Stegostoma tigrinum: one gene and its partners. The protein of the gene in region 3 purifies or fractionates together with the protein of the main gene of each other region. This does not show direct contact. Links are inferred from orthologs where the notes say so. Each region holds a gene or a part of one and is shown on either strand. Other genes may lie near its edges. The genes, in order: phf12b, kdm5a and gatad1.

Region 1 (7,178 bases), on a different chromosome or scaffold from region 3:
ACATTTTGAAGAGCAGGGAAATTACCCCAGAGTCTTGGCAATATTTAGCCTTCAACTGACACCTGAAACATTTCCTGGTTATTCTCACATCTGTTTGTAAAGCTTGACTTGTTACAATTACCACTGTATTTCTTACTCTACTACTGGTCTATTGGCTATAAAGCTAAATTGTCATGAAAGGCATAAAATTAATGCAAGTCCTCTTCATTTACAATAAAGTTTGACCTTCAATTAAAATTGCCCCAAGAATTAAAAGGAATAATTCAAAACATTTAATTAGGTTAATTAAGTGTTTAAAACATCAAAATAAGTGTTAAAGTTCCAAAACTTTAGAATCTGAATAGGCTATACATTTGGACACAATCATTCTCAACGACCTTAACAGCATAATAATGCAACACAAGAATTCCAAAACTCAACATAGCAAAGTGCTCCAAAGACTATGGGGAATAACAGCACTGGACAATCATATAACCACAATACTGATGACAAGATGGAGTTAAAGTACAGCAGACATAAAGGCATTAACAACTACATTTTTCTCCTGGAAGAACTCTAGAAATCTAACAAACCAGTTTATAAAGCAAGATGTCAATGGAAATTTAATAGATTATTCAGATATCAAAGTGATCTAACTTAGAAAGATATTGTCTGACCTAAATTTAAGTTGTCAAGTGCCAGTGTCTTGTAAAGTAGTACTTTTTACTGCTTGATATAGATAAATATTAAAATCTAGTGCGTTTTATTCGGTCAGTGAGATATTTACACTGACCATTCAAGCATTCTCATATTTAAAGTGAAAAGTTTAAATCCTCGATAAGCGCCAAAAAAATTAGAGATAAACTGACATTACAAGACTGAATGGAATAACTTTCATGTAATGCCTTTGTATAATCTTAAATCACAGGGATAACATGACTTTCGTGAGTTTTTTTTAAAAAGAGAATCTTGAAAATGATAAAACAATAAGCGAAAAAGTGTACCAGAGATTTATCAGAACTCCTCCACTTCTTTACAAAATTTCCAAGAGCCTTTCGAACTCAGTTTAAATCGGACACTAACCTCCAGAACCGAGAAGTCAACTAAAATGGCGCTCCGAGTAGAAAATATAATTTAAACGGAGGTCGCCATGTTGCGTATTTGCAAACACATTAAGTGAAGGAAAGGAAGGCATCCGGCTCGGTGCCCAGATGGGTGCTCAGGGACCAGGCCTATTTGTAGGAAACTATCCCTGAGGACAAACAAGGCCATGATGATGAGAAGCGGATAGGTGTGTTTAGTCACTGTGCCCCTATCCTACCCATCTTGCTACCATATACTTTAATGAGACCCTAACTGCAAAGTCAGAAGAGGGGTGCATTGGCAATGAAGATCCGAATGTGGTGACAGCAGAACCTCCTCCAATTAACGGGACAACCACTTGTTTAAGCGTGTATAGCTTCCTTCACCTTTCTAAAGTTCAGGTCCAGCTGCAGGATTCGCTTAGACCTCTCAAACGTGGAGCGGGGGCAGGGGGAGAGAAGAGAGCAGGACAAGGAAATCGTTTAGCCGCAACAACTGCAGTACAGAAAGCAGCCACTAAAACACAACCGAGGTCCACACACCTTGAGGCCAAACCTAGGAAACTACACCTAAAACCACACACCAGCCTGGGAAAGACAGCAGACAAAAAAAAACACACAAAAACCCAAGAAGGTTTAAACCAAAGATAACAAGGTATAGAGCTGGATGAAGCAGGCCGCTCTCTATCAAGAAACCCCCATCCCCAGTATCACAGATCCCCGAGTTAGGTGTCCCCCTCTGTAAGAGGGGCTGGAGGAAAGATCGACGCTTGCATCAAGTACTGACCAGCACTGGAGGTGGAAGGCGGCCGGGCAATGGTCGCAGCAGAGTAGGTCTCCCCCCTCCTTGCAGCTATCGCAAGTGTCGTGGTTGGTGGCCCGGCCGCTCCGCCTCGGCTCCTTCTCCAGCTTCTTGGCCTTCTTGTCGCTCTCCTCGCTCTTCGGAGGGGCCAACAACGCTTGGATTTTCTGCAGCGAAGAGAATAAAAACAGGAAGAGAAGGGAGAAGGGTTGGCGGGGGGGTCGTAAGATTAAACCATTTTCACCATGCAGGCCGAAAAAAGACTAGACCCAAAACGTTTGTTTATTTAACAAAAAAGACGGTTGAGAAAGATAGATGCCATTTGTATTGAGGTTTTTTTAAATAAGCAAAAAGAAATGAATTTTGCTGTTTTTAATCCTAATCCTGGCTGTGGATTTGTTTGGGCGCGATCAGCAGCTGAGAGGAGCAAAGAAAAAGCCTCACCTCCATCAGCCCTCCGGAGGTATCCAAGTCGTAGACAATCGTCTTGGTCTCCATTTTATCCCACATTCAACACGGCCGCTTTTCTTTTCCTTTTTTAAAAAAAAGGTGGCGAGGCAGCAGCAGACAAGTTTCCCCCCCCCCCTTGAGCTGTCACCAACACCCACAAAAAATCCGTAAGGGGGGGGAAAGAGACGAAAATGGGTTTTTGGGGGGTGGAAAAGGGTCGGGGGGGGGTATTCACCCCCCTCAAACCCTGGCTTAGCTTCCCACTTTCTTGGCCAAAACGAAGGCACAGATCGGGACCAGTGTCCGAGAAAAAACAATCAGAATAATAATAATAATAGTAATATTTATAAATCCACAAGAAATCCCGGCTCGCGATTCAACGGGCTCCAGCGACGACAGCAGCAGCAACAACGCAGCCAGGCCTCGACCAGGGCCTAACCGACACGAAGCCTTCCCTGGGCGACAATAATATTCGTGTCGAACCACTTGCTTTCCATCCGTGCGAAGAGACCCCCCCAGAGGCACCACCATGAAGCGGATAAATCCTGAAGCCGGACGGACTGTGGGGAGGGAGGAGAAGGCCACGGCTGCCGGAGGCGATCTGTCACCCGGTTCTCGGTGCTGTCTGAAGGCCGCCAGCACATACACAAACACTCGGAGGCCAGGCTGCTCGCTTTACATTTTTTCTCTCTCTGCCTCCAAGTTGGCGCAAACTTTCCACACACACACACACACACACCACACACGTACTGCGCAAGTGCCTGCTGGTTGATGGGGGGATGGGAGAGGAAGGGGAGGAAAAGAGAAGAAAGGGGCATACGACTGCGCACGCGCCGGGTCTTTCCAAGCAAGTAGCCAACGCGCCTGCGCAACCGGCCGTTGGGGTTTTTTGTTACTCTATCGCTGCGCCTGCGCGAAATGCGCACGCGTGCCCGTCGGAAGGGTGAGGGGCTGAGGCTCGCGGTCATCTCTTGACGTCAGCCCCCGACTCCCCGTCGCGTGATCGCGATCCGGGCAGCGCTCGGCCAATCCGCTTCCACTCCCTTTCTCCCTCCCGCCCTTCTGCCTCTCACCCTAACTTTACAAACCCTCCCCCTCCCCCACAATCCATTCATTGACAAGTCCGCATGCGCAGCCTACCTCCCGCACAACGACCCCCATTTACTGCGCATGTCCTGTGTCAAGACTGCGTTAGGCAGTAACGTGAGGATGCGGCTTCTTGGGAGCAGTAGTGTAAGTTACGAGGGTGCCTTGAATCTCGAGCAGCTTCCAAATCCTACAAACTTGCGAGTTGTTATTTGCACTTATTTGTCCTGTTCTTGACCTTAACTTGGAGTTGCCCTTAAGTTATTTGATTTTGTAGACATGGACGAAGGTGGTTTATGTGTACTCTCATTTCATATTTTATCATGTCAACATATGCTGTGACCTGTGATGAAAAGTGTCAGTAGTTTTGATTTCAGTTTCGTGTAACCTTTCACGAAATTAATCAAAGAGAGCCGTAATTTGAAATTAGACAAGATCATGAACCTTGCATTTTGCAGCCAATTCTGAGTAAAAAGTAACTACATTCACCATGACAACATGTATTTTGTATACAGTCTGTGGGATAGGAAAATGTCCTGAAGTGTTATATTGCACAAGAATTGAAAAAAAATCAGAAATATCAGGACAAAAACTTGGTCAAAAAGCTGACTGTCTACTGAAGTACAGTGAAAAATTTTGTTTACAAGCAGTACAGGCAGATCATAGTAAAGAAGGATTTACTTTGATCTATATGGGTTACATTGCACAGGTCATGTGCTAGGCGAAATCGATGTTTAGCAAGATCAACCTTATTTGAGACAAGAGAGTCCATTTATCAGTCTAATAACGGTCAGGCAAAAGCTGTTCCTGAACCTGATGGTGCGTGTGTTCAGGCTTCAGTATCTTCTGCCTGACAGAAGAGGTTGTAGGAGATCATTGCAGAAGTGCAATAGGTCTTTGCTGATGTTGGCTGCCTTTCCGCAGCAACCATGGAGTTGATGGATGGAAGGTTGGCTTCCATGATGTTTTGGACTGTGCACACAATCTTCTGTAGTTTCTTGTCATCCGAGGCAGAGCTGTTGCCGTACCAGGCCGTTATGCACCCAGACAGTATGCTTTCAATTTTTCATCTGCGGAAGTTGGTGAGCGTCCTTATGGGCATGCCAAATTTCCTGAGATGCCTGAGGAAGAAGAGTCACCTATGTGGGAAGTCCAGGACAGGTTGTCAGTTATCGTTACTTCGAGGAACTTGATGCTCACCACTCTTTCAACTTCAATTCTGTTGTTGTAGATGGGGGTGTGTCTCCTCCTTTCTTTCTGAAGCCAATATTCAGTTCTTTAGTTTTGCTAACACTGAAAAATAGGTTGGTCTCATTTCACCATGTCGCTAAGCCTCTATCTCCCTTCTGTACTTTGACTCATGGTTGTTAGATATCCGTCCTGCTACAGTGGTGTCGTCCATGAATTTGCAGATGACATTTGTTTGGAATTTGGCATCATAGCCATCAGTGTACATGGAGTACAATAGGGGGCTCAGGACACATACTTGTTGGGGGGGGGGGTCTCCAGCGTTGACTGTTATTGCAAAGAATGTACAGTTACCCATCTTCAGCTGTATATATTATGGAAAATCTGGATGAAACAAAATTGTAGAAGTGAGAGAAGGTTTCTCATAGCTTTGGGTCTTGATGCCTGGTTGTGAAGATTTGTGGATATGTAAGAGGCCAGAATTAGAGAAATGCTAATTTGGACGCAGATCTGAATGGGCAGCGGACTGAATCTTGATGGAAGTTTTAAGAATTTTTAAAACTGTGTCCTGTATCAAGATAGCTTGGTTTGTTTTCTTTTGACCTTGATTTTGGCTTTGGCTTTGGCTTTTGTGCAATGAACTTCTCCTATTAAACCCTGTGTACTTGTGTGTCAGTGAATGACCAGCAAATTAATTAAGATGTTAAGAAGTCTATTAAGCCAGGTTTCATTCTATGATCTGATTTGTTGAACAGTACAATCCACTGCAATCATAACATTCATGTGAAAAGCTATGTATTGTTCATGGCAAGAATCTCACCTCATTAAGTCTCATCAGCAGTTTACCTCTAACACCGTAAACTGAACCATGGTAACCTGATCAAGGAAAGAGAATAGTGGCAGAAATCTAACCGTAGCATAAGCTGGTAGTGATTGGCATTGCAGCACATAAATCAGAAAGATTGTGACTGTGAAGGGATTTGAATACAGGGATGAGAAATTTTTAATTTGAAGTGTTGATCATCAATATATAGTAGAGAGTAGAAGGGTAGTAAGTGCATTGGAAATAAGGCCTCTTCTGAAGCAGCAGAGTTTTAAACAAGGTCAAGCTTTTGAAGCGTGCAAAAAGAGTAGGTTACCAGACAGAATCGGAATGGGTGACTGTAGAGGTGACAAAAGCAGGGATAAATTTTCAGCAACAGCTCAATTATTTCTGGTTTTGCGCTGAGAATGGTGGCCTTTAATTTGGAAACAAATATTCAGTTGTGAATTCTGAAATTGAATCTTCCTTGGCCCGTGGCTGCTCAAGTTTTTCCTCCAAGGCCATCTGCAGCTTCCTGCACTGAAACTCAGCATTTTGCAGCAGCTATGCTGTAGCCAGTGGAATATCACTTCAGAGGAGCATCCGGACAGGAAAGAAGATATAGATTTCAGGAACTTTGCAAATATGCAGGCTGATTAGTTCAATTGTATATGCAATCTAAGTATTGATAGCATTTGGTACCATATCAGACTTTTAACCTGAGGGTCTCTCTGCGCGTATTAACATTTTGTTCTTTCCTAATCTCATGTCAGTGATGTCCAGTTTCCCACCGACCGGATAGAAACTAGATGGTGAGTTTTCCTGACATGAAAGTCAGAGTTGTTGCCTGGCAACTCTAGATCGCCACATATTCTTCTGGTCCTCTATCTTGGACAACATCCGAGGGAATATTTCATGGCAGAAAACATAGGGGGACTCCTGGTTAGACAAGCCTGGTGACATTTGTGGCGAGAGGGCACAGACATTCTAGATGTGTTCAGCACAGAAGTTGGTGCACCTTCCTCGGTTTGAACTCCCGTAGGGGTGAGGATGGTAGTCAGTGTTGATATAGAAGGTGCAGCCAGCTCTAGGGTCATTTTAGAGTAGACTTCTGGGGAGCCTATATGTAGCTCCTCCTCTGGCTAGATTTGTACTAGTTGGGGCCTCTCACTTGTGAGAAAGGGGCACTTGGACTTACCGTAAGGTCCCTTGTTCCTCTGTGGCATTGCTGTTGGTACTGGTTAGATTGATGGAGTATAGGCCTGTGCATAAATCTAGCTGGTGGTCTGTATGCTAGACTTGGGTCTCCATGACAATTGTCCATAGAGGCAGACAGACACTTCTGTGCCAAAGAAAGCACAGTACAAACAGCCTTGGTGGAATCCTCCAACCTTTGAGTTAGTTTGTCTCGTGCCTTCAACAAACCTGCTGGCTGCTTCTGTGTCTATTTGTGCATTTCGGTGAAGTTGTGATTTGTTGACCCTGTTGGGTCCCCTCCTACCAGAACCTGAGCAGGTGCCTGTTCTCCGGTAGTCATCAAAGTACCAGCAACTTTAGAGTAGTTCTTCCTTGGTCAACTGTGGAGATGTGGTAGTACTGTGCTTACCAACATGTCCTGCTGACTTTAATCCAGCTAAAATACCCGCTGATGTGTTAGAATCTGGGTTGGGAGAGGATGCAGTAGGCAGCCTAGCTAGTGCATCCTCTGAGGGAAACCATGACTACTTTCTCGAAGGTCAAGTAGATATCTTGTGGGGCCACCCTCTTGACAGTGGAAACCGTGCATGTT
Region 2 (7,833 bases), on a different chromosome or scaffold from region 3:
AATGCTACCAGTCAGTCTCTAAGACACATACTTGTGTCCTGTAAATACAACCAATCTATTTCTGGAACTCCCTGTCTTACAGCACAATACCCTCACCATATCTACTGCAACATTTCAACAAGCCAGCTGATCACCAAAGAAAGTTACAGATGTCAAACACTGAGTTAATAATGCAGACTTCAAGTGATAAAGTAAATAAATAAAGCAGGTCCCTATCATCAACAAATCAAGCCTTCTGCAGGGAAGGGGGGGGGGAAGGTTTAAATTCAATAAAATATCTGGAATTAAGAATCTAAATGATGATCATGAACCCATTGCCAATTGTCAGAAAAAACTAACAGGTTCACTTATGCCATCCTTTCCAGGTCTGGCCAACATGTGACTCCAGACCCACAGCAATGTGGTTGACTCAACTGCCCTTGGGCAATAAGTGCTGCCTGATTAGTGACACCCTCATCCAGTGACTAAATAAAATGAATCAAGGGTTTTTCCAGGAACATCACGAAGGACTTCAGTTTATGTAGAGAAATAAGAAGCTTTGTAGCCTTTGAAGCAGAGTTTAGGGGACAATTTAACTAGGGTGATAAAACTGAGGTTGCATAACAAAGGCTAAACTATTTCCATTTCAATGGCAGCAGTATCAGCAACCAAGATGCCAGGCTTAAAGAATCCCACGTAAGAACCAGTGGAAAGATTTTTTCTTACACCAAATGATGGTAAACTGGAAAGGACTGGTTCTTATTCAGGGGTAGCAGAAAGAAATAACTTTCTAAGACAACTGGATAAACATTAGAAACAGAACAATCAGGGTTAATGATAAAAAAGTGGAATTATTGGGGAGGTGGTAGCCTACTAGTAATATCATTGGGCTGTTAATCCAGAGACCCAGGTAATGTTCCACAGGATTGTTTCAGAGACAGTAGGAACAGCAGAATCCAAGATAACGTAGTTAACTCAGCCACATTAGGGGCATTTAAACAGTCCTTGGATCAGCATATGGATGACAATGGGCTAGTGTAGGGGATGGGCTTGGATTAGTTCACAGGTCAGCACAACACTTAGGGCTGAACGGCCTGTTCTGTGCTGTATTGTTCTATAGAAAGGTGTAGTGCTAGACGAGCACAGCAGGCCACGCAGCATCATAAATTCAGGAAAGCTGATGTTTCAGGCCTAGACACTACTTCAGAAGTGGGGAGGGGGGTTCTGAAATAACTAGGGAGGGGAGGAGGTGGATAGAAGAGAAGATAGGTGGAGAGGAGTCAGACAGGTCAGAGTGGTGGGAATGGAGCCAGTAAAAAAGTGAGTGTAGGTGCAGAGTTAGAGGGGAACTGGGTCAATCCCAGGAGGACAGACAGGTCAAGGGAGCAGGATGAGGTTAGCAGGTAGGAGACGGGGTGGGGGTGGACTCCCACAGCTACCTAGGATACACCTCCTCCCACCCACCTTCCTGCAAAAATGCCATCCCCTATTCCTTCTCTGCAGCAGCTGCTCCCAGGATGAGGCATTCTACTCCCAATCATCTCAGACATCCTCATTTCTCAAGGACCACTTGGGAACCCTGCAATCCAATGGTATCAACGTGGGCTTCACAAGCTTCAAAATCTCCCCTCCACCTACATTATCCCTGCCTCCCTAACTGTCCTTCCTCCCACCTCATATCCTCAGCCAACCCCCTCTGACCTGTGTCCTCCCTGGACTGAGGTGTGTCCTCCCTGGACTGAGGTATCTCCACCCAACCTACACTCACCTTTACTGGCTCCATCCCCACCATTTTGACTAGTGATTTTAGACTAGTCATCTTTCCACCTCTCTTCCTATTTATTTCAGGACCTCCTTCCCCTCTCTCCACCCACCACCCCCCCCCCCCCAACCATTTCCTCAAGGTTCTGGGGGACTGATTAAATCTCACCACAGAAGAAAGTGGAATTTGAAATTTAAAAAATCCAGAATTGCAAATCTAATTGTGACCACAAATCCATTGCAGATTGCCTGATAAACTCATCTCGTTCACTGACATCTTTTAGAGAAGGAAACTATCATCCAGACCCACAATAACGTGGCTGACTCTGATCACTGCTCAATAAAAGTGCTGATGAGAAACCTAAGTGAATAGCAGAAATAGCCAGATTTCCTCCGGGGGTGTTGGCAAAACTGTCAGCTTGAAGAGGTAGACTTGATTAATTTTGTTTAAAAATTGACTCGACCCACGGCTGAGAACTCAAACTCTAGGCAGACGCCCAACACCAGTTTCTCTCCAGATAGACTACACCCGTTCCTGAACCCGCTGCAATCAGGGTTTGATTCCCTGACAACAGAGTGTGAAGCTGGATGAACACAGCAGCCCAAGCAGCATCTCAGGAGCACAAAAGCTGACGTTTCGGGCCTAGACCCCTCGGGGGGGGGGGGGGGGGGGGGGGGTTGTTTTCCTTGTTGTCTGTGAAGAGGAGGCGGCCGCCATTAAGTTGGATCGCGGCCTCCTGGTTCCACATCACGGGGATCTGTCCTTCTACCCCGCCGACGGCCTCTTAAGTGGTTGCAGGCCGAGCGCAGCCCTCCCCCCGAGTTACTGTCGATGCGCGGTGGGAAGACAGGGTTTTTATTTACCTTGGGCGGGCGAATCTTGCAGATGCCGCTCCTCTGAGCGATGGGTCGGATCTTGTTGATGTACCCGAGCGGCTCCCGGAACTCTTCCCGGCTCGGCTCGAATACCGGGCACTCAGGAGGCGGGATGAACTCCGAGAATATCCACATGATGGCGGCAGCAGCGGCAGGCAATCTCCGAGACAAAGGGAGGCCGGGGCTCCGGGCTCCAACCCCGGAGTGGTCCCTCGGCGCCAGACCGCGGCCTGGGCCTTGGCGTCACCCAGGAACGCGGTGACTGCTGCAGCTCAGTGCGAGCCCGGCGCCCGCTGCAGCGACGGGAGCCTCTCACACACAGAGAGAGCAACCTAGGCCCAGTCCCTGAGGATGAGGGCGGGTGGGGGTGAAAGGTCAAAGCAAGCGCGCGACTGTCCTCAGGCGCGCGCACCACTTCCGCTCGCGGGTTGCGAAGCAAGATTTCACACACACTTGTTTTTACAGGGCTCATCGATCCGGTGATTGGCTGTCGCGGCAAAGCAGCTGCAGTATTATTGGATATGGCCCCGCCCCAACGCCCCCGATCAATTACTATTGGTTGTTATTACACGGTCCCACCTTCTGATTGGTTGAGGACCACAGCCTCAGATTCCGAGGACAGCAGGTCACAAGGTCCTCGGCTCCGGAATGAAAACAGAAAATGCTGTAGCTTGTGAGTAGAGAGAGAAACAATGAACAAACCCGAATCCAATCCCTTTTCTTTAGGACTTTACTTTCTGAAGTGTTTATCCAATTTCCTGTCGACAGTTGGTATATAATTTATTCGAACATCCATTCTTACAGCCCTTCGGATTATATATAAAACAGGGCAATCAGTTCCAGTCAAGGCTATCCTTCCCCCTTCAAGTGCTTGTCGAGCTTTCCGTACATCACATCCAATCATTCATTTTAATCTCTTCCCGCGGTACCAAAATCCACATTCTCACCACTTTCTGGATAAAGACTTTTCTGAACTGATGACTTAAATTGATGGTTCCCAGAGTTAACATTTCAAGTCCAGCGACCCTTCTTCAGAACTGTTTGAAGCTGGGAAAAGGTGTCATAAATGCTGAAGACGAAGGGAGGGAGGTGTGTCGGACAAGACTAAGGGCTCTGTCAACCATGGTGATTGGGAATTCTTGGTTAAGGGAAAATGTGAAAATTATGAGGTTCCTCTGCAGAACGTGACATCGTCAGAACAGCCGCAACAGAGTTGGAGAACAGGGCCCTTAGCCCTGTTTAACTCATTTCCAACTCTTCTGGCCTCACCTGTACTCTCTCCTCCCACTAAAAGGGTCTCCTTTCCTCACCCACCAGCGTCTGCAACCAAAGGATCGTAAGCCACCATTTCTGCTACCTCCAGTGGGATGCTACCACCAGACACATATTTGTCTCCTCTCTGTTGTCAGCATTTCACAGGAAATGTTCCCTCTGGGACACTTTGGTTCAGTTTCTATTCCCGACACCTTCCTGCACCCCCACATCTTCCCATACAATGACAGAAGGTACAACACTTGCCCGTTTACTTAGTCTCTCCTCACTATCCAAAGTTCCAGACACACGTTCCAGGTGAAGTAGTGATTTACATGCAATTTACCTAATCTAGTTGCCTGTATTCGCTGCTCACATTGTGGGGAGGTGAAACACAGACTGGGTAAGCACTTTACTGTCTGTAAAAATGACACCAAGCTTCCAGTTGCCTGCCACTTCAACACAGCACCTGTTCCCTGGTCAACATTTCTGTCTCAGGCTCACTGCAGTGTTCCAGCGAGTCTCAGCACAAGCTGGAAGAACAGCAAGTCATTTCCACTTGGGAACCCTGTAGTCTGCAGGAGTCAAATTCAAGAATTTTAGAACCCTGAACACCTCCTTCCAAACTCTTTAACCAATCACACCACAGCCTCTGTCATGACTACAGCTGGATTTCAGCACAGTCAATTAATTTCCCCCATTTGTGGTCCCTATTATCAGATTTTTCTCCTTCATCCATCCCTTTATCTGTCTAAATTTGTTTCTCTCCCTCTGGTCTCTGTCTCCACCTATCTGCTTACTGCCCCATCCCACGCTGTGTCTTCAGCATGTATACCACATTTCCTAGTTACTATCAGCTGTGAAGAAGGGTCACTGGACCCGAAATATTGGTTCTGTTTTCTCTCCACTCATGCTTCCAAAACTGAAATTTCTGCTTTTGTTTCAGATTTTCAGCTGTTCATGTTAATTTATCCATCCATTCTAATTTTATTTTCAGGCACTTGGACCATAGTATTGTACCTTTTTGACTGGGGAAATGATTTTGGTGATAATCCCTGCTGCACATACTTTCAAACAACTTGTTCACATATGTTACTACACATATCTGGAGCAGGTTCAACTTGAACCCAGGCCTTTTAGCCCAGAAGTAGTGACAGTACTACTGTACCACAAGGACCCCTATAAAGTCTTGATGAAGGGTCCCAAACCAAAATGTTGATGTTGCTGTATTAGATTAGATTCCCTACAGTGTGGAAACAGACCCTTCGGCCCAACAAGTCCACACCGCCCCTTGGAGAATCCCACCCAGACCCATTTCCCCCTATAACCCACACACCCGTGAACACTACAGGAAATTTAGCATGGCCGATCCACCTAGACTGCACATCTTTGGACTGGGAGGAAACTGGAGCACCTGGAGGAAACCCGCGCAGACACAGGGAGAATGTACAAACTCCACACAGACAGTCGCCCAAGGCTGGAATCGAACCCAGATCACTGGCGCTGTGAAGCTGCAGTACTAACCACTGAGCCACCGTGCTGCCCTATATCTGAATTGGCCAAGGCCAGGGTACAGCATGGAAAATATAGGCAAGATACAGTGTATGCTGTAAATCTTAAAAAAAAAGAGAGAATGTTGGATAAACTCAACAACTCTGACAGCATCTGTGGAGAAAACGAGAGAATTAACATTCTGAGTCTGGCATGACTTCTTCAGTACAACCGGTTCAAACCTGTGCTTCCCATAATATGATGACCAGAACTGCACATAGTACTCCAGCTGTTGCTGAAATAATATTAAATACAGTTTCAGTACACCTCCTTGCTCTTGTATTCATTAGTTTGGCTAATAAAGGCAAATATTCCATATGCCTTCTTCACCATCTTATCAACCTGCCCAGTTACCTTCAAGGATCAATGGACATCCACAGCAAGATAACTCTGATCCTCCGTACGTCCTATAATCCTACCATTCTCCATGCTTTGCTTTCCAAAATGCATCACCTCACACTTTTCTCGATTAAACTTAACTTGCCACAGTTCAGTCTATCTATATCATTCTGTTGTCTCAGTCTTTCTTCCTTGCTACTTACAACGTTCATCAATTTTCATGTCATCTACAAACATACTGATCATACCTTCTTTGTTCAGGCCTAGATCATTAATGTGCATGGTAGACAGCAAGGGACCCAGCACCAGACCCTGTGATATGCTACTGGACAAAGGTTTCCAGTCACAAAAATACCCTTCAACCAGTATTCTCTGCTTCCTGCCACTAAGCCAGTTTTGGATTCAAATTGCCAAATTCCCCTGGATCCCATGGGCTTGTAGATCGTTAACCGCTCTGACATGAGAGACCTTGCCAAAAGTTACTAAAGCCCATATGGGTAAAGGCAAAGTCACTATAGTCCCATAGGGCTGCTGTGTCTTTAGAGAGAGACAACTGGTGGTGAGTTTAATCTGAAGGTCATGACATTCTGGGAAGGGTGAGCTTGAAAAGAAATGATCTTCATGTTGACCTCAACCAATACAGGAATTGAACCTACATGATTAACGTTCCTGTGCATCACAAACTATGCCATCAACTGAACCCAACCAACTTCATGAAGTCCATGTAGACTGCAACATGGAATTATTTAGTACGTGAACAGGTCCTTCAGCCTATGATATTGTGCCCCATAAGACAACAAATTAAACTAATCCCTTCTGTCTACCTTTTGTCTGTATCCATCCATTTGTTGTTTATCTAAAAGTCCCTTAAATGCCCCTATCATATCTGCCTCAACCACCACACCGAGCAATGCATTCCAAACTTCCAACACACTTTGTGTAAAAAATGTGCCACTCATGTATCCTTTGAACTTCCCCCCTCACCTTAAACGCATGCCCCCTGTATTAGACATTTCAATTCTGGGAAAAAGATTCTGCTTGTCAACACTATCTATGCATCTCTTATTTATAGACTGCTATCAAGTCTCCCCTCAACCTCTGCCACTCCGGAGAAAACAACCCAAGTTTTTCCAGCCTCTCCTGATAACTCAGACCCTTTAATCGAGGCAGGATCCTGGTAAACCTCTTCTGCACCCTGTCCAAAGCCTCCACATCCTTCCTGTAATGTAGCAATCAGAATTGAATGCAATACTCTAAGTGTGGCTTAACCAAAGTATTATAAAGCTGCAATCAGAGATAATGGGAACTGCAGATGCTGGAGAATCCAAGATAACCAGTGTGAAGCTGGATGAACACAGCAGGCCAGGCAGCATCTCAGGAGCACAAAAGCTGACATTTTGGGCCTAGAGCCTTCATCGGAGAGGGTTCTGGAATAAATAGGGAGAGAGGGGGAGGCAGACTGAAGATGGAGAGAAAAGAAGATAGGTGGAGAGGAGAGAAGAGGTGGGGAGGTAGGGAGGGGATAGGACAGTCCAGGGAAGATGGACAGGTCAAGGAGGCGGGATGAGATTAGTAGGTAGGCAATGCAGGTGCGGCTTGAGGTGGGAGGAAGGAATAGGAGAGAGGAAGAACAGGTTAGGGAGGCGGGGACAAGCTGGGCTGGTTTTGGGATGCAGTGGGGGACGGGGAGATCTTGAATCTTATGAAGTCCACATTGATACCATTGGGCTGCAGGGTTCCCAAGCGGAATATGAGTTGCTGTTCCTGCAACCTTCGGGTGCCATCATTGTGGCAGTGCAGGAGGCCCATGATGGACATGTCGTCTGAGGAATGGGAGGGGGAGTAAAAATGGTTCGCGACTGGGAGGTGCAGTTGTTTATTGCAAACCGAGCGGAGCTGTTCTGAAAAGCGATCCCTAAGCATCGGCTTGGTTTCCCGAATGTAGAGGAAGCCACACCAGGTACAGTGGATACAGTATACCACATTGGCAGATGTGCAGGTGAACACCTGCTTAATATGGAAAGTCGTCTTGGGGCCTGGGATAGGGGTGAGGGAGGAGGTGTGCGGGCAAGTGTA
Region 3 (7,334 bases):
ATGAAAGGGGAGATATAAAAATGGCAAAGAAATTGCAAAACAAAGTATGATGAAACTTGGAAGAAGGGAGGTAAGATGTACATCTGAGTACTTTTGATATGTAATCATAGTTTTATTGGAGGAACCTGCAGCCAATTTGTACACACTGTTCCCACCAAGAGCACTGAGACAATTGCTAGATGTATTGTAGACTATTAATATGAAATCTGAACGTGGAAATGGTTGGAATATAAAACATAAACTAGGTACTAGAAAATACTCCAGCAGGTCAAGCAGCATCTTTGGAGCGATAAACTGAGTTAACAGTTCAGATCAGTAGAAAAGATAGTCAACCTGAAACATTGCTCTGTCATTACGCATTGATGCTTTCTGAATTATGAGTATTACCAACAGTTTGTTTGAGGAACACCAGGTGAATTCCTGATAGCGGATGTGTTCTTTTGAGAGCTGTTTGCATTGTAACAGTTTGAAATTATCTGAGGAAGATTGAGTAGCAGTATCCTGCAACACCATGAAGTGTCAAAACATTTAAAACTCAAATGCCACTAAAGCATAAACTTTATGCAGAACAGATTGTAATTAACACTAAAGCACAACACTGTGGATGATGAAACTGTAGTAGTAAGGAGAGGTGATACACCATTTCAGCAGCTACAGAGAAATGATGAGAGAATAATGCATGACACGGTGACAGAAATAAAAACAAAGTTACTGGAAAAGCTCAGCAGGTCTGGCAGCATCGGTGAAGGAAAAAACAGAGTTAACATTTCAGGTGCGGTGATCCTTCCACAGGACTGTGACAGAAATGTTAGGGTGAAGAAGAAAGCCACTCAATCCATTGTGACTGCAACAGCTCTCTAAGCATTGCTAAATACCTGCCTGTTCCCTGTTACCCTGAATATTGGATGATTATTGTTTCCAATTCAATGTTCTCTTGAATGCCTCCATTGAACCCACATCTACCATGCTTCCATGCAATTCATTCTAGACCAGACCAACTACCTATTGAAAACGTTTTCTCATCTCATATTTGCTGCTTTTGGAAACCAGTTTAAAATCCGTGCCAATGTGAGGCTGGATGAACACAGCAGGCCAAGCAGCATCTCAGGAGCACAAAAGCTGACGTTTCGGGCCTAGACCCTTCATCAGAGACGTCAGCTTTTGTGCTCCTGAGATGCTGCTTGGCCTGCTGTGTTCATCCAGCCTCACATTTTATTATCTTTGAATTCTCCAGCATCTGCAGTCCCCATTATCTCTTAAAATCCGTGCCATCTGGTTCTCAGTCCTGTAATCAACATGGAACAGTTTCTCAGTGGCTATTCTGTCTAGATCCCTCGTGATTTTGAAAACCTCTATCGCTCTCCCCTCAAAATAAACAGTCCAAATAAACCTCGACCCAGTGTTACGTACAAATGAGTACACAAATAGGAATCAGAGGTATTCAGCATGGATACAGGCCCTTCAGCCTATCTCGTCCTTGCTGATCAGGTTTCCTAAATTGAATTAGTCCTATCTGCCAAAGTTTGGCCTATATCCCTCTAAGCCTTTCTTAACCATGTACTTGTCCAAATGTCTTTTAAATGTTGTAATTGTATCTGTCTCTACCATTTCCTCTGGCAGTTCGTTCCATATGTGTACCACCATCTGTGTGGAAACAGTTGTCCTTCTGATCCCTTTTAAATTTGTTTTCCCCCCTCACCTTAAACTTATGCCCTGCAGTTTTCAACTTGCCTACCCTCGGTAAAAGACTTTGGCTGTTCACTTTATTTATTCCCATCATAATTTTATAAACCTCTATAAAGTCACCCCCACAGCCTCCCACTCTTCAGGAAAAGAAATCCCAGCCTTTCCTTGCAACTCTAACCCTTCAGTTTAAACAACATCCTTGTAGATCTTTTCTACACCCTTTTCTGGGACGACCAGAATTATAGTTGTGACATGACGGCCGATCCCTGCGCTCAGTCCTCTGACCAATGAAGGCAAGTGTGCAAAATGCTGCCTTCATCATCATCCTGTTCACCTGTAATGCCACCTTCAAGGAACAATGTATCTGTACCCCTTGGTCTCTCTGTTCAACAACACTGAGCAAAATGCAACAATTCACATTTATCTGCATTAAACTCCTTCTGCGACAACTCAGCCCACTGACCCAGTTGATCAAGGTTCCATTGTACTGTTGGATAATCATCTTTGTTGTCTGCTGTACCACCAATTTTGGTGTCATCTGCAAATTTACTAACTATGCCTGTTGTATTCCCCTCCAAATCATCAATACAAATGACAAACAACAGTGGACCCAGCATCACTGCTTGTGGCACACTGGTCATAGGCCTCCAGTCTGAAAAACACCCTCTACTGCCAAGAAATAATGAGAATTGCTGATACTGGAATCAGAGATAATAGTGTGGAGCTGGAGGAACACAGTAGGCCTGGCAGCATCAAGGGAGCAGGAAAGCTGATGTTTTGAATTTCTGAAGAATAGATTCCCTACAGTGTGGAAACAGGCCCTTCCGCTCAACAAGTCCACACTGCCCCTTGCGACATCCCACCCAGACCTATCCCCCTATAATCCACGCACCCCTGAATACTACAGGCAATTTAGCATGACCAATCCACCTAGCCTGCACATCTGTGGACTGTAGGAGGAAACCGGAGCACCCAGAAGAAACCCACGCAGACACGGGGAGAATGTGCAAACTCCGCACACATAGTTACCTGAAGCTGGAATCAAACCCGGGCCCCTGGTGCTGTGAGGCTGTAGTGCCGACCACTGAGCCACCGTGCTGCCCCTAAGGATCCTAACCCAAAACATCAGCTTTCCTGCTCCTCTGACGCTGCCTGGCCTGCTGTGTTCCTCCAGCTCCACACTGTGTTACCTCTACTGCCAATCTCTGTCTCCTACTCTTAATCCAATTCTGTGTACAATTAGCTAGCTCTCCCTGGATCCCTTGTGCAGCCTGCGCATCTGCCAATGTGGTATACTGCATCCGCTGTACCCGTTATGGCTCCCTCTACATTGGGGAAACCATGTGGAGGTTTGGCAATCGTTTTGCAGAACATCTACGCTTGGCTCACAACAAACAACTGCACCTCCCAGTCGCAAACCATTTCAACTCCCCCTCCCATTCCTTAGACGACACGTCCATCCTGGGCCTCCTGTATTGGCACAATGATGTCACCCGACGGTTGCAGGATCAGCAACTCATATTCTGCTTGGGAACCCTGCAGCCCAATGGTATCAATGTGGACTTCATAAGCTTCAAAATCTCCCCTCCCCGCAACTGCCTAACAAAACCAGCCCAGCTCGTCCCTGCCTCCCTAACCTGTTCTTCCTCTCACCTATCTTTTGCTCCCACTTCAAGCCGCACCCCCATTTCCTACCTACTAAACTCATCGCACCCCCTTGACCTGTCCATCCTCCCTGACCTGACCTAACCCCTCCCCACCTATACTCACTTCTACTGGCTCCATCCCTGTCCCTTTAACTTGTCTGTCTCCTCTCCACCTATCTTCTCCTCTATCCATCTTCGATCCGCCTCCCCCTACCTCCCTATTTATTTTAGAACCCTCTCCCCATCCCCCTTTTCTGATGAAGGGTCTAGGCCCGAAACGTCAGCTTTTGTGCTCCTAAGATGCTGCTTGGCCTGCTGTGTTCATCCAGCTCCACACTTTATTACCACCATTCTATGAGTTGTTTTTATGAGGGACTTCAGATTCCTAGCATAGAGTTGGGTAATTAAAGAAAAATCTGCCCCCCCCCCCTTTCAACATGTTTAGGAGATAAATGTTGGGTCCAACAAGAAAGAGTGAGTTTTGTTGTACCTGGTCCTTGGTAAAGAGTTAGACTCTCCTTGGAAATGAGGTGGATCAAGTGTCAGTAGGAGATCATTTAGGAGATAGTGATCATTGTAACGTTGGAAAAATAACATGTAACAATCCAAAATTCAGGTTTGGAATGCACCGCCTGCCACTGTGGTGGAGGTAGGTTCGAATGAGCTATTCAAGAAGTCACTGGATGATTATTTGGATAGAAATACTTTGCAAAGGTTATGTGCGAAAATCAGGCGGATGGCACTAAGTAAATGATGTTACTTTGAAGAGCCTGTGCGGGTACAATGGGCCAAATGGTCCGCGCGGTAACAATTCTATGATTCATTTCCATGCGAATTTAATCCTCTCGCGGCAAGGGGGCGGCGTTTCCCAGTTCTTCACTGCGTCCCGGTCGCCTCCTCCCTCTCGGGGGCGGGGGGACGCAGTTAGATGGCCCTCCCGCCGCTAGGGGAGCGCCGGCACTCGGTCCTCCCTCCTGTACGAAGGCTCTGGGCGGTGGCGGTGGCGGTCACGGTCACGGTCACTCGGTCCTCCCACCAGTAGGTGGGGCGGTGGCGATCCCGTTGTATCTGGGGAGGGGAGGCCGCGTCTGTGTGGGTTGTTGCTGGAGACGCGGAGAACATGCCGTTGGGTCTGAAGCCGTCCTGCAGTGTGTGCAAGGCCAATTCTTCGGCCATGTGGAGGAAGAGCAGTCAGGGCGAGATCATCTGCAACAACTGCGCTGGCAAAAGCCCCGGACCCGTCTCCGTTTCAGGCTTGACCGCGGGGTCCGGATCAGCTCCGGCTGCTCAGCAGAGCAACGGTGGCGGCAGTGGCGGAGGCGGCAAACAGGTGAGGCTGGGAGAAGGGTCTCTCTGATGAAGGGTCTAGGCCCGAAACGTCAGCTTTTGTGCTCCTGAGATGCTGCTTGGCCTGCTGTGTTCATCCAGCCTCACATTTTATTATCTTGGAATTCTCCAGCATCTGCAGTTCCCATTATCTCTGAGGCTGGGAGAAGCCTGAAGAGAAGGCCGCTCTGAGCTGTTTCAAATTCCTGTCCAGGGTAGAGGATGACCTGGGGAAGAGGCGCCAGCCTGAGACTAGGAGTACTTCTTTCATCAGTTAAATCAAACAGAATCAGAGCTGTAAAGCACGGAAACAGACTCTTCGGTCCAACTCGTAGATGCCGAGCAGATATCCTAAATAAATCTAGTACCACTTGTCCGAATTTATACTATAATCCCTCTCAACCCTCACAGATCCGTCCAGATGCCTTTTAAATGTTGTAATTGTACCAACCTCCATCACTTCCTCTGGCAGCTCGTTCCGTCTTTGCACCACCCTCATTGTGAAAAATTTGCCCCTTAGGTCCTTTTTATATCTTTCCCCTCTCATCTTAAACCAATGCTCTCTAGTTTTGGACTTTCCTACCCTGTGGAGTAAAACCTTAACTTTTCACCCTGTCCATTCCCTCTGTCAAGATGGCGGTTAAATCAGATTAAAGCTTTCATAAACCTAAAAGGGGCACTGGAGGTTCAAAATGTAAGTTAACAAAGCTTCCAGACCTGAAACATCAGCTTCCCTGCTCCTCTGATGCTGCCTAAGCCTGTTGTGTTCATCCAGCTCTACACCTTGTTAGCTCAGATTCTCCAGCATTTGCAGTTCCTACTATCTCAAAGCTCAAATTAAGTTGTCTTTTCAGAAAGTAATAATACATTGGAGCCCCTCCATTTTCCAACAGCCATAGAAGTCCTTGACTGTTTCAGTGGACACCACATGTTCCTTTTCCATGGACTCCAGGGTGTGGGGGTAACTTCAGAAGAGGGAGACTGGGAGTCATATCAGGACTGGGCAGTCACTGTTTTTGCCTTTGCACAGCAGAGTGTGAAGACATATAATATCATGTTTAATGACATGTTAGAGCTTAATCGAACCTGAAATATTTATCTTTTATGAGAAACTGGGGACAGGGATGAAAGATGTGATCCTCAAATGCTGTTGAAATTCCTGCCTTAATGGTCAGCATTAACTGGCTGTTTAGTCAATGTAAAAACAGAAAATGCTTGCAGTACTTTAGTAGACCTGGCAGTATCTGCAGAAGGTAAAACACGATTAATATTTCAGGTTTGTATCTTTTCATCAGACCTATTATTGAGGTTGATTGGCTCTTATCAAACATCCATACATGGATTTCCCAATCTAAACAACTGGATACATTTTTCATCCAGTCCAGCAGGTTTGAGTAGTCTTAGTATTCCACTTTCTGGTTGAATTGATTCAATACCAACTAGAAGTGAAAGTTATAGGAACTTCTATGAGCTTAGCTCATTGAGAGATTTCTGTCCTATGGTAATATGACTTGTCCTGCCCATAGAGTCTGTTCCTGCATTCATTGAGATCTTGGCTGATCTGTTAATCCCAGAAAGGGTCCCAAAACTATTCAGCGTTCCAGCTCTGGTCTGATTAATATCTTGTATAGTTTTAGATTTACTTTCTATGGATGCCCCCATTTAGTTTCCTTTTCAAAGCCATCTCGTATTTTGATATAACAAGGTGTAGGGCTGAATGAACACAGCAGGCCAAGTAGCATCAGAGGAGCAGGCAAACTAACGTTTTGGGCCTAGACCCTTGGCCTGCTGTGTTCATCCAGCTTTATACCTTGTTATCTCAGATTCTGCAGAACCTGTAGTTCCTACTGTCTCTGCATTTTGATATTTTATTTTCTAAGGCCATTATTGAAGTGGTTTCAGCAAAATAAACTTGATCTATGTCGGTGTTTCTTCAGTATTAATAGCATAATGAGACGAATGACGTGCTGTCACTGAATAACTACAGATAAACTCAGACGAAGAGAGATAGTAGGAACTGCCGATGCTGGAGAATCTGAGATGACACGGTGTGAAGCTGGATGAACACAGCAGGCCAAGTAGCATCAGAGGAGTTTCAGGTCGGGACCCTTCTTCTTGGCCGGCTGTGTTCGTCCAGCTTCACACGTGTTATCTCACGCTAAGAGATGCCTTTTTCGCTACGTGACCGCAAGTATTCTTTTTACTTCGAGAATGAATTTATTGTACTGGACTGTGTTCATTATTCTGTTGAAGTTATGTTATTCCATAATGAATTCAGGAGTAAGCAAGATTGTGGAGTTGAGATTAAAATTCAACCCCTGTGATCTTATTGAATAAAGGAGCAAGCTCAAGGAGATAGACAGCATACTGTTCCTTGTTCATAAATAATTTTGGAGTAACTATGAATTTTTTGCCGATACTGTGTTTGTCCTTGTTTATTTTCTCTTCTGTTTTGACAGGCAAAGCAAGAAATTCATAGGCGGTCTGCAAGGTTACGGAACACAAAATATAGGTCCATGCCACCTGCCGAAAAGAAAGTTTCTACAAAAGGAAAGGGGCGTAGACATATATTCAAATTAAAAAACGTAAGTCTATTAAAAAAGTACAACATCGGCATATTTAAGATTAGGTGGGGAAGGGAAGAAAACATTTCTTCAATTGGTAAGACAGTGGTCC

What was found.
Region 1: the proteins of gatad1 (region 3) and phf12b purify together in Homo sapiens (affinity purification with mass spectrometry; 7 studies listed by BioGRID and IntAct, with this or other methods). This does not show direct contact. The link is inferred for Stegostoma tigrinum from reciprocal best matches to the Homo sapiens genes GATAD1 and PHF12.
Region 2: the proteins of gatad1 (region 3) and kdm5a purify together in Homo sapiens (affinity purification with mass spectrometry; 6 studies listed by BioGRID and IntAct, with this or other methods). This does not show direct contact. The link is inferred for Stegostoma tigrinum from reciprocal best matches to the Homo sapiens genes GATAD1 and KDM5A.

What each region holds. Positions count from the first base shown.
Region 1 is NC_081380.1:28,534,025-28,541,202, forward strand, and holds the start of phf12b (PHD finger protein 12), read right to left. Parts: upstream 3,107-7,178; 5' UTR 2,374-3,106; coding exon 2,308-2,373; intron 2,031-2,307; coding exon 1,849-2,030; intron 1-1,848.
Region 2 is NC_081371.1:280,002-287,834, forward strand, and holds the start of kdm5a (lysine-specific demethylase 5A), read right to left. Parts: upstream 3,001-7,833; 5' UTR 2,752-3,000; coding exon 2,605-2,751; intron 1-2,604. UniProt on the Homo sapiens protein: Histone demethylase that specifically demethylates 'Lys-4' of histone H3, thereby playing a central role in histone code. Does not demethylate histone H3 'Lys-9', H3 'Lys-27', H3 'Lys-36', H3 'Lys-79' or H4 'Lys-20'.
Region 3 is NC_081355.1:108,519,001-108,526,334, reverse strand, and holds the start of gatad1 (GATA zinc finger domain-containing protein 1), read left to right. Parts: upstream 1-4,315; 5' UTR 4,316-4,452; coding exon 4,453-4,662; intron 4,663-7,117; coding exon 7,118-7,243; intron 7,244-7,334. UniProt on the Homo sapiens protein: Component of some chromatin complex recruited to chromatin sites methylated 'Lys-4' of histone H3 (H3K4me), with a preference for trimethylated form (H3K4me3).